Linked DNA regions of Tamandua tetradactyla. Each later gene encodes a partner of the first gene's protein in a complex. Links are inferred from orthologs where the notes say so. Each region holds a gene or a part of one and is shown on either strand. Other genes may lie near its edges.

The links. The genes of interacting proteins can lie anywhere in the genome.
Region 2: TMEM67 (region 1) and TMEM107 share a complex: the UniProt entries of both Homo sapiens proteins name them as parts of the tectonic-like complex. The link is inferred for Tamandua tetradactyla from reciprocal best matches to the Homo sapiens genes TMEM67 and TMEM107.

What each region holds. Positions count from the first base shown.
Region 1 is NC_135332.1:137,076,077-137,084,572, reverse strand, and holds the start of TMEM67 (meckelin), read right to left. Parts: upstream 3,263-8,496; 5' UTR 3,218-3,262; coding exon 2,992-3,217; intron 1-2,991. UniProt on the Homo sapiens protein: Required for ciliary structure and function. Part of the tectonic-like complex which is required for tissue-specific ciliogenesis and may regulate ciliary membrane composition.
Region 2 is NC_135332.1:62,012,403-62,020,338, forward strand, and holds TMEM107 (transmembrane protein 107), read right to left. Parts: upstream 3,276-7,936; 5' UTR 3,096-3,275; coding exon 3,009-3,095; intron 2,804-3,008; coding exon 2,736-2,803; intron 2,638-2,735; coding exon 2,537-2,637; intron 1,794-2,536; coding exon 1,697-1,793; intron 1,461-1,696; coding exon 1,391-1,460; 3' UTR 663-1,390; downstream 1-662. UniProt on the Homo sapiens protein: Plays a role in cilia formation and embryonic patterning. Requires for normal Sonic hedgehog (Shh) signaling in the neural tube and acts in combination with GLI2 and GLI3 to pattern ventral and intermediate neuronal cell types.

The DNA of each region.
Region 1 (8,496 bases):
CAAGTGGAGAATTCTTGATATTCTCACAGGCAGTGTGGACAGCCAAAGCAATAGGCCGAGCCTCCAATCTTGGGGCTTGTTCATATGAAACTTAATCCCACAAAGGATAGGCTAAACTTACTTAAAATTAGGCCCAAGAGTCACCCCCAAGAGAGCCTCATCTGTTATTCAGATGTGGCCTCTCTCTCTTGGCTGACACGGCAAGCAAACTCACTGCCCTCCCCCTCTCTACGTGGGACATGAGTCTCAGGGGTGTGGACCTTCCTGGCAACGTGGGACAGAAATCCTAGAATGAGCTGGAACTCAGCATCAAGGGATTGAGAAAATCTTCTCCACCAAATGAGGGAAGAGTGAAAAGAGACAAAATAAAGTGTCAGTGGCTGAGAGATTCCAAACAGAGTCGAGAGGTTATCCTGGAGGTTATTCTTAAGCATCAAATAGATATCACCTGTTTAGTTAAGGTGAAATGGAGAGACTGGAGGGAACATCCTGGAAATGTGGAGCTGTGCTCTGGTGGCCATGTTTCTTGAAGATAATTGTATGATGATATGGCTGTCGCAGTGTGACTGTGGTTGTGAGAGCCTTGTGTCTGATGCTCCTTTTGTCTACCTTATTGACGGACAAGTAAAACACATGGATTAAAAATAAATAAATAATAAGGGGAAAAATGTTAAAATAAATTTAGTAGATTGAAATGCTGGTGATCGGTGAAGGGGAGGGGTAAAGGGTATGGTATGTATGAATATTTTTTTGTTTTCTTTTTATTGCTTTTTCTGAATTGATGCAGATGTTCTAAAAATGATCATAATGATGAATATACAACTATGTGAAGATAGTGTGAGTTATTGACTATATAACAAGAACAGAATGATCATATGATAAGAATGCTTGTCTTTGTATGTGGTTATGGATCATAAATAAAAAATAAATAAATTTTTAAAAAAAGACATTAGTTCCTTTCCTTCCAAGCAAAAAAAAAAGACCGAGGCCACTGGAACCAATACTGCATGGGTTCAAGTCCAGAAACATACTCCTTAGGTTATAATTTTAGTGCTGCTACTTAATTTCTTTGTGCCTCAGCTGCTTCTTTGGCAAAATGGGGTAGTATTAGTACCTACCTCAAAGGGTCAGAATGAGTATTAAACTAGTTATTAGATGTAAAGGGTTTTAACAGGGTTGAGCACACAGTGGGTATTATGTTTGCTACCAATTTAAGCACCAGCATAATTAAACTATAAATAAGATTATTGATAAACTTCTGTGGGTAACTTTACATTTCCATGTCACCCATCCATATACATAGATTGAATGAATTACCTTGATTCAAAAAATTCACGGAATCACTGTTTCCCTCAACTTGGATACATAGTGAACATTATAAACACTACTCAACTTGCTGAATAGGTAGGTGTAGCATCCTATAAGGGCAGTAAGTGAAAACAGCACCCATAGGAGTCTCTGTAGTACAATGCATGCAATATCTGGATTTGTAATTATAAGCTAATGCCTTACACCTTTAGAGTCTCTTCAATGTTTTCTCATTCACACTTCCTTACTTGAGTGTCCTGACCTGTCTTGTTCAATAATCCAAGTGAAAATATATCAAATTTGAAGATGACAGAAGTACCATCTTAGTACCATGGTGTGCTTGTTTTAAAGTGTGTACCCCAGAAAAGCCATGTCCTTTAATCCTGATTCAATATTGTAAACCTTTGGTTAGATTGTTACCATGAAGACTGACCCCCTCAATTGTGGGTGTGGCCTTTTGATTGGATGGAGATGTGACTCTGCCCTTTCAAGGTGGGTGTTGATTAATTTACAACAGTCCCTTAAAAGGGGAAACATTTTAGAGAAAGCTCAGATGCTGAGCTTGGACAACAGCTGCTTCAGAGACAACACAGTTATGTGAGAGCCAACATGAGACCCAGATGTTTGGAGATACGGAAAGAAAATGCCACCTGGGGAAGCTGTTTGAAACCAGAAGCCAGAGAGCCCAACAGATCCAACCACATTCCTTCCCAGCCTACAGAGGTGTTTTGGACCCATCCACCCTTCTTGAGGCAAGGTATATTTCTCAAGACACCTTAGTTTGTACATTTTCATGGCCTTGGAATTGTAGACTTGTAAGTTAATAAATTCCCTTTATAAAAGCTGTTCAATTTCTGTTATATTTTATTCTAGCAGCTTTAGCAAACCAATACACATGGATAACCAAATCAAGATAAAATATTTGAGAATTTAGAATATGGGAGATTTATGGAACAGTGTCCATGAGGCAAACTAAGACAAATGATGGAAGTAAGGAGACAAAAAATGAATTAGCTTAATCTAAAGAAATATTAAAGAGCAACTAGTATTACTCAACAATACAAAGGGCTAAGTCCTAATGAAATTTAAATTAAGGACACACTGTATGGTGGAAATATGTAGTTTCAGACTGAGGACAAATAGACACGAGTTCTTCACTTCTTCAATTTAGGTTGCAAAGAAGATATTACAACCTCTTCAGAAGATCTTCAATTTACTTATCTGTAAAACGGGGAAACTGGATCTGATCATAGTCACAATCCCTCCCAGCCCTAAATTCTGGGATTTGAAAAGTAAGATAAACGGCAGTCAAAGATTACAATTGCAAAATGTGTATCTCCTGTCAAACCTTCTTGTCATCTACTCCTCTGCGTCTCACCTTCTCTATTCTTTTTTTCTCTCTCGGCTGCTTTCCAGGTGCTATCTAAAGACCTCCGGATGAGGGGAGAGGCATTAGTGCCGAAAATTGAAGAACCAGAACTGTTCCCGGGGTAGCGGACTCCGGGTTCCCCAAATTCATTAGCAATCCTCCAAGGAAACAGTCCCCTCAGTCGTCGGCGGTTAACTTTTCTGATATATTCTTCCCGCCGATTAAAAAAATAGGCGTTTCAGCGACGCCGGGATTAAGGACAGCACCAAGGAGGAAGGGTTACTTTTGCCGGAACTCATCCCAAAAGGTCTCACCTCGGACGTCCCGCCTCTGATTGGCTCCACACGGGACACAGGAAAGCGCGGAGATATCGAAGTACTGATTGTGGCCGCAAGTATCCGGCTGCCGGAAGGGGAAAGAGAAGGTCTGGGCTTGCAAGACGCGCGGAAGGACCAAAAGGAGAAACGCAGTCACAGTGGGCGAAGACAAAGCGGACCAAACCGCCATTGCCAACCCAGCCCCACAGCCGCCCGTCGCCATGGTGCCGATACCTGAAGCAGTCTACCCCTCTGCACCCCATCGGTCTCTGCGACGAATCCGCGATGCTGATTGGACAACTTCCCCGTCACACCTCCCCCATCCCCGCCTCGCATTTTGGATTCGTTTCGGAGCCTGGTTGCTAGGTTACCAAACATAGCCGGCGGGTGTGGAAAACCTTGGGTTAAAATCAGACTCCCCCTAGAGCCTGAAGGGCTCGCAAGTCTTATAATAAAGTATGTTGTTTCAAACTCTGAGAAGCGACTCATTCGATTTAGGGGGTCGGAAATAGAACGAGAATGATAATATCTGATTGCATTACATAAATTAAGGGGAAGTATTGTTTTCCGATAATGTTGTTAAATATTTCCATCAGAATGTATCCACACTAAGCAAATTTCACGTCAAAGAAGATATTCCAACGTGTATTTGGTTCTGTGGATAACATTTTAAAAGTATGCAATGTTGGAGCATTGCTATGGCTCAAGCACTAAGAAAAAATCTTTCCTGCCAGACGTTTTTCTACTTCCCTTGTTTGAAGAATAGGAAACCATGTAAATAAAATAAGATCATCTTTTTTACACCACTTGTTAATAAATAAAGGAGAAACCTATTTAAAAAAAATCAAATGTACACATATATGAATGTTGTCTTTCAAAGCAGTCATCCTTGGAGGCTGTTAACCTCAAAACATTTTGGAATTACTTTCAGAGCCAATTTATGGATAGCAAAAGAAAAACTAATCTCCTTATATTTAAATCTCATTTTTGTTTTTGTTGCTTCTAATTTGACAGTTATATTTTGTCTCTCTCCTCCAATCAAATCACCTGGCATATTTTTAAGCTGCTTCATCTATCAATAGTACCTAGAAATGACTTTGGGCTTAAAAAACAATTTCATAATAATAAAAATGATGATTTGTCACTAGTTAAGGATTCTTAGTTCATGTGGAAAATACATCTAGGAAAGTTAATAACTTTAATCATTAACCACCATTAGGCCTACTTTTCCTCAATGTGGCCTTTCCCAAAAGACCAGCATTCACCCACTCACTAATCCCTATGACATAGCAGGCATGTGTTTTGAAAAGCTGTTTCTAAAGAAGTCTAAATATATTTTTGAGTAATTACTGGGTTATTTGAAGTGTCTAATTTGAAGTGGAAATCAGTTATCTGAATACAACTTAAAAAATATTTGGCCATGTAAATATTAATGGGGACTCAGGTAGGGTATGGTCAAAATAGTTGGGATTAATTTGCAAACGTTTGCTATGGGTGGGTTTCAAATCTAGTCTTCCTTGATGAAGTATATATTCTTATATGCTTTGTGGAAGTGATTAGGGCACTAATATTTACTCCTTGTCTTCTGTATAATTAAAGCCATAGAAGAGCTCCTCCATTTATTAAAATGGAGGTTGGGATTAACCCTGCATAGGGTGTGCAAGGGATAACAGGGGAAGAGATATTGTAGATTTGGGAGTGTGGGTGAGGAGGAAAGGACTTTAATAAGAAACCAAAACAAGCAGAGGGAGCCAAAGTACAAACTGCCCATACCTCATGGGGGGACCACCCTGATCCTGATGTGTGTCCCCTCACCGCCCTTCAGGCCCCCAGCGGAGCCCAAGGCCTGGAGCTTCCATCTCAGGTTCCTCCTCAGCTGGGGCAGGTCTTTCTGTGACTCTAGTTCCTCAAAGGCCAGCAGCAGAAGCTGGTAGCCCATTAGACCCAGGTGCCATTCCCTCAGAGGCAGGAGCCCAACAGCACCCTGCATCTCAGCAGAAAGGCCAGCGTCCCACAGCATCAGCATCACCCTTTGTGTAGGATCTCAAGTCATGGGCTTAGAGGCAGCCTGGCCCTGAGGAGGTATAAGAGAGCAGGCACACAGGAGGAAAACATGTACCTGTATGTCCCTGAGGTGCAGAATATATATGGGCTGTGACAGGAGATGAGGTTGGAAAGGTAGGCAGGAATGAAAATGAAAGCTCTTGAATGCCTATATTTGCCTACTGTGGTTTGAAGCTTGTTAAAACTTTAAGCTAAGGAATAACCTGATCAGATTTGCAATTTAGAAAATGTAATCCTGAGACAAAGTACATAGAAAACTCTAGAGTTACAGACCAATTGGACTGCTAAAGCAGAAATCCAGAATCTAAATTAGGGCAATGAAAGAAGAGAGAGGTAGGAGAGGATGAATGAAAGAGCTATTGAAGTGGAAGAATCATGAGAACTTTATAGCTTGGATATAGGAAATAAAGAAACAGAAATAGTCCAGCATAACTCCCAAGCTTCTGATTTAGTTGGCTTTGTTGATGGTTGTGAAACTAAGGGAAGATAGAAGATGCCTGGGGTAGATCAATGTTTCTTGAGAAAACATTATTTGAATAGATTACAGAAAAAATAAAAACAGGTTGCAACTAAAGATATGAGAATTATTTAAAATGTTAGTTGTAGCAGGAACCATGATGATAACGAAAATAAATGATAGTAATTGCTGGTTTTCTATGACCCAGGCAGTGTAATATCTCATTTGATCCTAAATTGTGATTAGCTAAATCACAGTTGCCAGATTCGGCTTCCTAGGTTCTTGGCCATGCCGCAAGAAACAATTCAAGGGCACAGCCCAAAGAGTTAAGCAGGCAGAAAATTGAGTACATGCAGGCAAGGAGAATGCAGACACTTTTACAAAAAAAGAGGGGTGAGAGGCGAGAGGCCCCCACAATGTGAGGCAATCTACTTTTATAGGTTAGCTTTACTTACTCCCCCTTCCCCTTCTTTGTTTAGGCCTCTTTCTCCTACCCTCCCTTCTCTCCAGGGTGGTGCATTTGGGTGGTTGACTCCACCCTTCTCTGTAAATGACTTACTCAGGTAGAGGTCATATGGCTCCAGGTGCTACTTATTGCTGTTCTTCTCAGAGATATCTTCCACCTTGAAGCCTGACTGCTTTTTAGAGTTTTCCCTGTGCTTAGCCAGTTACCACCCTAATTCTAACCCTACCTCATTTCCCCCTCAGAGGTTTCCTAGCTCCCTTAAGAGAATTTGGGCCAATGGTCCATCTTTTATAGCTGCTTCAAGCTGTCAGTGGGGTTACAGGCCCTACTTGTGTTAGCATAAAAGTCTCTGGCTATGCTATTGAGAGTGGCTGGTTGAGTGTGGGGAACAGGCATGCAGCCTCTGGTGAGGAAAACTTTGTTGTGAAAGGCTTTTAATATGGAAGAAACAAACTGGGTGAGAAATTGTATACATGGTCTGAACAGAAGCAGGAGCAAGATGGAGCTCAGAGTATTTAGAGTTTTTAGGAAAATTATTGATTGGGGCTTGTCCTAATGTGGCAGTTTGCAATTTCTGGCTGAAATTTGTATAATAAAAATGTCTAGAATGACTTCTCATCTCTATTTGAAATTTCTTAGCCCCTGGAATTTCATTTTTCTTTTTTTGGTCAATTAATTCTATAACACAGGGTCAGACTTTCTTTAGAAGTGTTGCCTCATGTTACTAGGAAGACTTACACCCCTGGAAGTCATGTGCCATGTAAGGGAGAAGGTAGTGAGTTTATTTGCAGAATTTGGCTTAAAGAGAGATACTACATCTGAGCAATAAAAGAGGATCTCTGGGGATGAGTTATAGGCATTAGTTATAAGAAGGCTTAACTTTGCTATTATAGAAATAAATCAAATAAGGGAAAGCCTCAAGATCAAGGGCTTGGCTTATTAAATACAGGTCCCTTATTGCATAGGAGAATAGCAAGAATTCCCTAAGTGGGGAAGTTAAATAGCTTCACATTTTTCTCTAGTCCTTTAAGGGACTTTGCAAATATTTTTTTTAATTTTATGATTAAGATTTTATTCTTTATTCTAGGTTCCATGTTGAATAAAGCTGAATTAAGTTGTTTTTAATGATCTATAAATTTTCCTATCATGCAAATCAGTATCAGGATAAAACATGGACAGTGAGAACATTGTTAAGTTTTTAGGAATCTTATAAAATTGTAAATATATGAATAACATTTAACTTACATAAATTTACTTAACAAAAGGATAGAAAATCTCTCTTAGTTATTATATTTAATATGATTTTAACCCCTCAGTTTCACAAGGTGAAACAACAAATCTTTTGCAACAGTTCTTTTAAAAGTAAGAAAACTTATCTTTTGAAATAAAGGATGATAAGGTTAGTATAAACATATAGATAGAATATTCAGATGGTTAAGGGAGCAGCATTAATTATGACAAGACATATTTTTAAAAGCCCTCTATAACTCTTTATACATAGGGCTTATAGTCAGCAGTGATTATAAACAAAACCTACTTTCTTAAATTTTCATTTTGAGAAAATTTTTACAACTTTCTACATCCATCCAGGGTTTGTAGTCAGCAATGACGACAAAATTCACTTGCTTAAACCTTCTGCATCTTTCCATATCCATCCAGGACTGATAGCAATGCCCTACGACAAACAAAATATACTTTCACAAACTTTCTATAACTTTCTATATCCATCTAGGGCTTGTAGTCAGAACTAACTTCAAATAAGATCCACTTTCATGCTAGGAATATGTCAGACTGTGCTTTGAGGCAACTGGAGGTTAGTAAGGTCTGCTGCTAAACCATCCTTAAAGATATGGGGTCTATTTTGAAACCCATGGGGTAGCATTGCCTAAGTGAGTAGGGCAGAAATCTTATTCTTATGTCCTTGGCATTCAACAGCAAGTAGGTATTGAGATCCAGGGTGAAGAGGAATACAAAAAAGGCATTTGTAAGATCTAGGACTGGAAATTTGAATGCAGAGAGTGGCTACTCATGGGCTAGTCCTGGGATGCCTTCATCCCATACAGACAGGTTTATTTGCTTCAGGATCTCTTTTGGGTTGTTAGGAGGCCTTGATCTAGTAGGGACCTCAGGGCAAACAAGAGGTAAACACTTGCTGGGTTTGCTAGTCTTAAAGTGGTCTCCAGGGGGTGAAGAAGATCCTTTCCTAGAAGGGAGGGTGGGGCATTCAGGGACAATGAGAAATTGATGGGACACTAGAATGTCTTCAAACTTATAAAGGAGAGGGATAGTGAAGGTTTTAGTTTTGGCATTACTGTTAGCTCTCATAACTAGGTAAGTCCTAGTGGAGGTAGCTCCAGAGAGGCAGTTCAGAACACAGTAAGTGACTCTATTATTTAATCAAGAAATTAATAACCTTACCTGCCCCGTCAAGTGTCACCAGAAACACCTCTAGGTTGATGGTCAGATGTGAAGTCAGTAGAGCCATAAGCAGCCTCCAACAGGCTCAGTCTTCTTC
Region 2 (7,936 bases), about 75 Mb from region 1:
AAATATGTGAGGCACCAGGGGCCCTCACCTGAGGAGCATGGTAAGGAAGCAACTCCTTGGCTGCCCTTTGTTTCTTTGGAGTCACCTGGGCTCTACCATTATCAGGGTTGGACTCTGACAGCATTGCTTCTGTGAAATGGTGGAACTTTATACATCTTGTTGTAATTTGTCTGCATAACACCTACTATGTTTCATTAACTTTCATTTGAACATGTTCTTTCCATGTTCTTATTATGCAGGAATGGAAGTGGAGTTTACACTAAATGCTACGACCATGACCATGAATGGCTTCCCACTCCGTGCAAATTGCCCTCCTACCGTGGTGACAAGAAAGACTTCGACAGCCTTATGCGACACCGACGACACCACCATTTTACAGGAAATCAGAAGTGGGCATCTTGACCCACTACTCATTTAAGATTGTAAAAGACAACAGACACCGAATAATATCGGAGAAGAATCTATACGTTTCCGTATAACCAGAGTCACCCACAAGTAACAAACAAGTCGCACATAAAACTACATCGCCTCCTGCACGACATAACAGAACGAACAAACAAGTCCAAATCAAACCCCCACTAACCATACTATGATAACTCACTCCAAATTGAAAAAAAAAACAAAGACGTACCGCAAACTAACTAAAACGAAACAAAAAAACCCACAAGCGATCGTTAGGGGTATCAGATAGGAGCAACCAGGGTGTTGCAAGCCCTGATTACGCAGAACGCTAATCACGTATCATGCCAACTCCAATCATCACATATCCAATCTGCCCTCCCGAAAGAGGAACAGGTCAGGATTAACCCTCCTAACGATAAAACAAAAACCTCCTACCACGCTGCACTGTTTAAAAGATTCCGCTTTTACAGAGGGTGTGTATATAACGTCTAAGCCTAGTCAACCTAAAGGTGTTTAGGAACTTACATGAAATTTACATTTCTACTGCTACTTTTCTTTTACATTGTTCTCATACTGCCGGCTCACAGAAAAGGGATACACCAATTCCTCCCATACTGCTCCTTTCACCGCTGGGCGGCCGACCGCTCCCTTATTTACATAGCTCCACCCATCCCCTCCCGCCAAATGTCTACCGTAATAACTAAAATAAAACGGTAATTCTAGAAAAAATTGCTTTTCTCCAGTAATTTGACCATCCTCATTCTCTTCTGAAATTTTTATCATGTCTTGATCTTATTATAAAATATCTTTTATTATAAAGCACGAAATAAAACGCTAATAATCCTAGAATAGGGAGCTAATTACCACAATACACATCTTCCACCAGGTGCAGTTTCAGAGTGAGAAGCCTACGTCGTCTTCTTTCACGACCCGTGTACGGCCCCTTGCTCCTCCAGCCTTCGTTCCAACATTCTCGTCATGGAGGTGATCAGAAAGGCTTCTTTTTCAGCCCAAAGACAGCGACGAATAATGCCATTTCAGATACGGCTGGAACGGCGCTGGGGTGGGGCGGGGGGAGAAGGAGGGAGCAATTGGCGGTGGATTCAGGATCCCTTCCAATAAAAATACCCAAAATCCCAAACCAGAGACTCCACCCAAAGTGTAAGGAGTGGGGGGTGAAGAGACTTCAAAAGACCACAGGATGTTGAGTGGATCTGGTGTCTGACACCAGGGGGAATTGGCTGCACAGGGAAAACCTTCCTCCCACATCCCCAAATACTGGGTGCTATCGCACCTGCAGAAGACAAAAATGTACCAGTACGTTGTGCACTCCCAACGCTCGAATATGAAGAAGGACAGGGCCACGGATGCACTACAGTGTGCCCCGATGGCTTGGGAACACACCAAAGTCAAGGAAAACCTTTGGATGGATGGACAGGTAGTGATGGACTAGAAAAGGCCTGGGGTGGAGGTAGCGGCGGCTAGCACCTGCTCTCAAGTTAATCTCTTGCTCCCACCACTCTACAAGGGCCAGAGACAGCAGCCCTGTCTCCTGAGTTTTAAGACAGCCAGGTGAGTAGAAGCCAGAGGTAAGCCTGCACAGCTGGGACTCCAGGGTATCCCAACACATATCTAGGGGACAGCCTGGCCTTCAGAAAGTACCCCACACACCCCCAGACCACAGACAGAAATGCTCACAGCCCCTTGATACACTCTACTTGAAACATACTCCACCACCCTGCTCCTCCAGGCCCACAATTCAGCTATCAGGAGCCTTCTTTGAACCATGTTCTGCACTTCCTCTCTCTCTTCTGAGTTCCCATAGTGCTTTTTATATCTTTATGCACTCCCACAGCACAGTGCTATCCCACGGAATTAGAGATGTTTTTGTGTCTGCTTCCTCCTCACAGTAGAAAACTGTGTTTTACTCTCATTCTGGTTCTCTAGTGCCTTGTATATAGAAGAGGCTTAACAAATGTTTGCAGATTGTATTAAATGCCCCACATTGCCTAAGATCTGTCAACTGGAGAAATTCTGTTTGCCTGCCAGGCAGCCCTCTGTGCTAGTAAAGCCTGGTTAGAGGGGTCGTGATGGAATGGGCAGTGTAGGTAAGGTGTACAGGCAGAAAGGATACAGATGAGGCTCTGGGTGTTGTTGAACATGGAAACTCCTGAGAAAAAGCCGGCCAGCTCCACTGCAAAGAGGCCCAGGGTGACAGAGAGCGCTGCCACCAGCCTGCAGAGAGGAAGGGGGTTGACTCAGGACTTCTGGACTTCTAAGACCCCTCCACTTCCACCACCGCTTCATTTTGATCACCCGCCCCAAGAGCTCACTGAATGTCCTGATTCTCATACTCCTCGGGGGTGAACTTGAGAGGCAGGCAGGCCTGGATGTTGCTGTCCTGGGGAACCGCCATGGAGAGGAAGAGAAATATGAAAGAGAGGCGGGATGCGGAGCAGCCTGGGGAGTAGGGTACCGGCTCGGGGGTTGAAGCACCCAAGCAGGTAGTCCTGGGAAGGGGCGGGGCAGGACCGGGCGGGGCGGAGCGGGGCAGGACCGGGCGGGGCGGGGCTGGAAGGTGGGAGAGGAGCAGCGGTGGGTCTTACCCGAGACCAGAATAAAGTAATGACGACCACCATATGCGCCATGAGCGTCAGGAAGCGAGAGGGCACGAGCCCTGAGATCCGGCCCATGGTGCCCGAGGACAGGGGTACCGCCCCGAGCAGAGGCTGTAGTCTCTGAGGCTGGAAACTCTGGGCTGGCCACTAATAAAAAAGCCCCGCACGAGCGGACAAAAACTCTTCGGCCTCTTTACTCCCGCCGGCGCTGGCCCCGCCCAGTTGTCCTGGCAACGGCGTGAGCGGGCGCACCGCCCTGCTCGCTGGAAATCTCGCGAGAGCAGGGAAGTCTCGAGCCGCTCGAGTCCTCAAACTTCACCCACGTGAGGAAGCCTGATCCATTCCTCCGGAGGCAAGTCACCAACAACCTTGTTCGGTTTAGGGAGAGATTTGCAGAGTGCGAGAAACAGCCAGCTCTCTTGAAGAAAGATACGGATAAGAGGCGTGTTTCTATAAGAGAGTGGATGGCAGGGCCTGGAGAGGGGAGAGGCGGGTGGAGGAAGGGAATGGAACCGGCCCTGCGTCCTCAGGAGGCTCTGAGGTAGGGAGGCAGACTAAGCGCGCGATTTCCTCGGAGTGTCCGGCACCCCTCCTTCCCCTGGCAGTCCAAAGACCGCTCACTGTCGGCGACCTCACTGACGTTTGGGCCTCTAGGGGATCCTTGCAGATTTGGGAAAGCCCTCCCCGGAGTGCTGTTTTCTCACAAGGTCCCTGCCCACCTCCCAGCAGAACCCCCATTCCCATTTCTGCCTTTAAGCCTTGTTCTGGGCTACAAGCCCAAAAGGCCTTTCTAATGTCTTAATTCAACAGATATTTATTGGCCGCCTAGTAAGTACTAAGCATTGTACGGGCCCTAGGAGTACATTGGAGAACAAATGTTCCTACTTTCGTGCATTTATATTCTAATCAGGGACATCGACGGCAAACACACGGTAATAGGAAAACACTAGAATAATATGACCAAGGAAATGCACTTTGAAAGTGGGTCTTTTGTTCTTAAACATAATGTTAAACAAATATTTTAGGGAATTTGGCCAAAAGTGTGGCAAAATGCTTTCTCTCTTCCAGGCCCGCAAATTAATAAATGCGCTTCTTTTTTTTTTTTTTTAACTGTCTCTCACATGGTTTAGAAAATATTTATGTGCGTGTGTGTGTGTATGTGTTTGTCTATATAGAGAAAAACGGTAAAGCGAATGTGTTCTGGGTGAAGGCATGGGAATTCTTTGTACTGTTTTTTGCAACTTTTCTGTAAATCAAATTATTTTTAAACGAAAAGATTAAAACAGTAAGCCTCTTAAGTTTTCCTTTTGAGTCTTACACAGTATTATAATTGAGACATTAAATTGCTTTATAAAAAAAGAAGGAATGATATCTCGGATTTGAGAGCCGTTAAATGTTGCTTTCCTATATACTGAAGCTATGTAATGGCATTTTCATAGAAACTACCTCTTTAGTGAGCAGCACTAAATTAGCTTTTATCCCCATAAATGGAAAATTTTTTAGATTTTTCTGAGCACTTAGTTTTACAAAGGGAGATATTTAGCAAAGTCCTTTTATTTTCTACTCAAGGTAACAAATCAAATATTGCTTACACTGGTCTCCACTCACAGGTTTGTAGGGGAGGTTCTCTCCTTAACTGTTACCATTTCTAAGTTCTGCAAGTATTTCCAAACCTCCCCTCATCTCAGGGTGAACAGGAAAAATCAAGTACTGTAAACACAACTGTTTGTCTCCCTTGAGGTAACCCTTTGCTATTTGACTCCTAAAATGAATGATCCTGATGACCCCACAATGAGAAGTGGTTCCTGTATTCTCCAGCACAGATATTACAGCGTCACAAGTGTGCAAATAGCGTAGAAAAGATGTCAGGACGTTTTTCTTCCCTTCACTGTAACTGACATGCATTTTCTCCTGAAAGTTCAGGCCTTCAGAGCCAAGCTTCCCCAGTGACAGTTGCAAAATTGACTCCTCACAGATGTTGGAAGCTCTGTTGTAAGGCCTAAGCGACAAAAGGTCCAGGATATGGTATTTGCAAAATCTTCAAAGTCCCCTGGAACAAAGGGAATGAAGAAAAGGAGTCAGCCATGTAAAGCTCTGGGGAAGGAGCCTTTCAGACTGAGGGACCAGCAAGTGTAAAGATCTTCAGAATGGATCAAGCCCAGCGAACAGAAAGGAAGCCAGTATGTCTGAAGGCTAGTAATGGAAGGGTAAGAGAAGAGAAGGGTGGGGTTGGAGAGGTGGACAAGGGCAAAAGCCAGTTCATGTCACGCCTTGCAGCTACGGAGAGGGGCATCAATGGATGTGTATTTCAGATGTCTCTGTTTGCAATGTGGGGAATAGACTTTAAGGGAGTAAGACTATAAGCAGAAGGCTAGTGAGGATGCGGTAGAAGTGTCCAGGAGGGAGTATGATGGGGCTTGGACTAGGGAGAAGGCAAAAAGTGGAGAAACAGAGGGAATCAAGAGCTGTATAGAATATAAGAAAGTTTGGATGTGGGGGCTTTGGGCAGGTGAGAAAAGAGAACAGTCAAGGGTAACTGTAAGATTTTAGGCTCCAGCAGCTGGAAGTTTGGGGTGTTTTGCTTACAATACGCTTCCTGCCTAGAGGCTCTATTAGAAAGTCAGAATTGAACAGTCACGTTCCCTATTGTAAATCAATAAATACTAAACGGACATTGTAGGTATGCATCATTTTCTGTGACCTGGGTTCACAGAAGCCTACCCTAGATAGATGAAGCCATCGCTAGCGTTTTCACAAAAGTGAGTTTTAAAGATAATCTGCAACCTTAGAAGGGCCTGCTAGTTAACCAGGTGTCCTCCAGTTAGCCCTCCAGGGCTACAGTCCACAAGTCCTAACAATGAACTGGAAATACAAGAACTTAAAAAAATTTTTTTTGATTCCCAGCCCATGTACCCCAAAACAAAACTTTTTTATAATGGAAAATTTCAAACATGTATAGTATAATATGTTTATATAAAGAGAATAAGGTAATGAACCCTTCTGAATCCATCCTCCTGCTCCAAAAATTGTCAACACATGGCCAGCCTTATTTCATCTATTCCACACCACTCAGTTATTTTGAAGCAAATCCCAGATATCATCAAATAGTCCATACTGGCCTACTGTCTCATACACACACACACACACACACACATATATATATATAATTTTTTGTTTTTGTTTATTTTTTAGAGCAGTTGTAGGTTTACAGAAAAATTAGGCAGAAAGTAGAGTTTCCATATATTCCCCCCAATGGTTTTCCTTATTATTAACACTTTGCATTGGTGTGGTAATTTTGTTATAATTGATGAACCAATATTATAATTACACTATTAACTAATCTCCATAGTTTAGGCTTCACTTGTTATGTTGTATATAGTTCTATGGATTTTTCTTTAAGTTGTGATAACATATATACAATATAAAATTTCCCATTTTAGCCACTTTCAAGGACACCATTCAGCATTGTAATTATATTCATAGTGTGTTAATATCGCCACCATTCATAACCAAAACTTCTTTATCACCCCAAATAGAAACCTCCTACCCATTAAACCTTAACTTCACATTCCCTACCCCTTCCTTTGGTAACCTGTATTCTAGTTCATGACTCTTAATTTGCATATTCTAATTATTTCATGTGTGAGATCATGCAATATTTTTAGTTTTGTGTCTGTCTTATTTCACTCATACCTTTTTTTTTTTTTTTTTACGGTTAGTTTGCTCAAATCAAGATCGAAGTAAAGTCCAGACATTGCATTTGATTGATATGACTCTTAAATCTCTCTTTTTTGGGGGGTGGGATGGGGTGGGGGCAGGAGCCGGGTTACATGGGCCAGAAATCGAATCTCTTTCCCAGGCATGGTCTTAAATCTCGTTTAATCTTACGTTTTCCTCTTCCTCTTTTTATTTTCTTGCAATTTATTTTTTGAAGAAACTGGGCCATTTTGTGGGCTGTATTCTTGTGCTGTCATTTAACATATTCTTAAAACCCTGTAAACTGTCTAATGTTTGGCTCTTCAGTCTTAGGTTCAATTTCTAGTGAAAATACATCCTGGTTGTGGTACTTCCTATTCCATCACATCAGGATGGCTGCTTGTCTTTTTCTGGTGTTAGGATTGAGCACTGGGTTCAGTTGCAGTCAGACTGATGATGCAGTCATTATAAATTTGCCATCATTTTTTCACCTCATGATTCAAGCATCCATTGGCCATCATGTTACCAGAGAAAGGCAGTGGATTATCTTGTCTGACGCACTCAATAACCAGTTCCTGAGACAGCTGGGTTTCAGAGAGAAAAGAGTTTCTACTGGGCATATAGTAGGAGAACAGATGGCCTGGTGACCCAAAATCTATCTACCCAAGTTTAGGGAGGTTCAAGGTTTTTAAGGACTTTAGCAAGGGGAGATGTGGTCATTTCGAGTAGCAAGTTCAAAGCAGAAAAGGAGACAATGTTATCAATATTTCCATAGAAGAATATAAATTGAAAGGAAAGGAGGCAGGCTAACGACTTCAGTACAAAAAGTGTAAGCCAAAAGAAATGGAGACAAGTTATCTTTCAATAGCAGAATCTAGCTAATAGGATGTACAAATATCAGGAGCTGAAGCTAGTTAATGGCTGACTTCAAATTCTTCATTAGCATTAGGACCTTTGCCTTATAACTAAATGACCAGATAAAGGGCGTAACAGCTTTTAGAGTTACGAAGTCACAAGGTGAAGGCTTTTACAATAATTTCAGATGCCATGACAGCTGGATTATAATTAAGAGATTTCAGGAATTTCCCTCTGTCTACTCCAATATACCAGAAAGCAAAAAGGAATATCTGTATAACGATTCAGTAATCAAAATCATCCCTTAAATCCTAATTTCTCAATTATAATCACCAAGCTCCATTGTTTCATTAGAAATTGCAAAA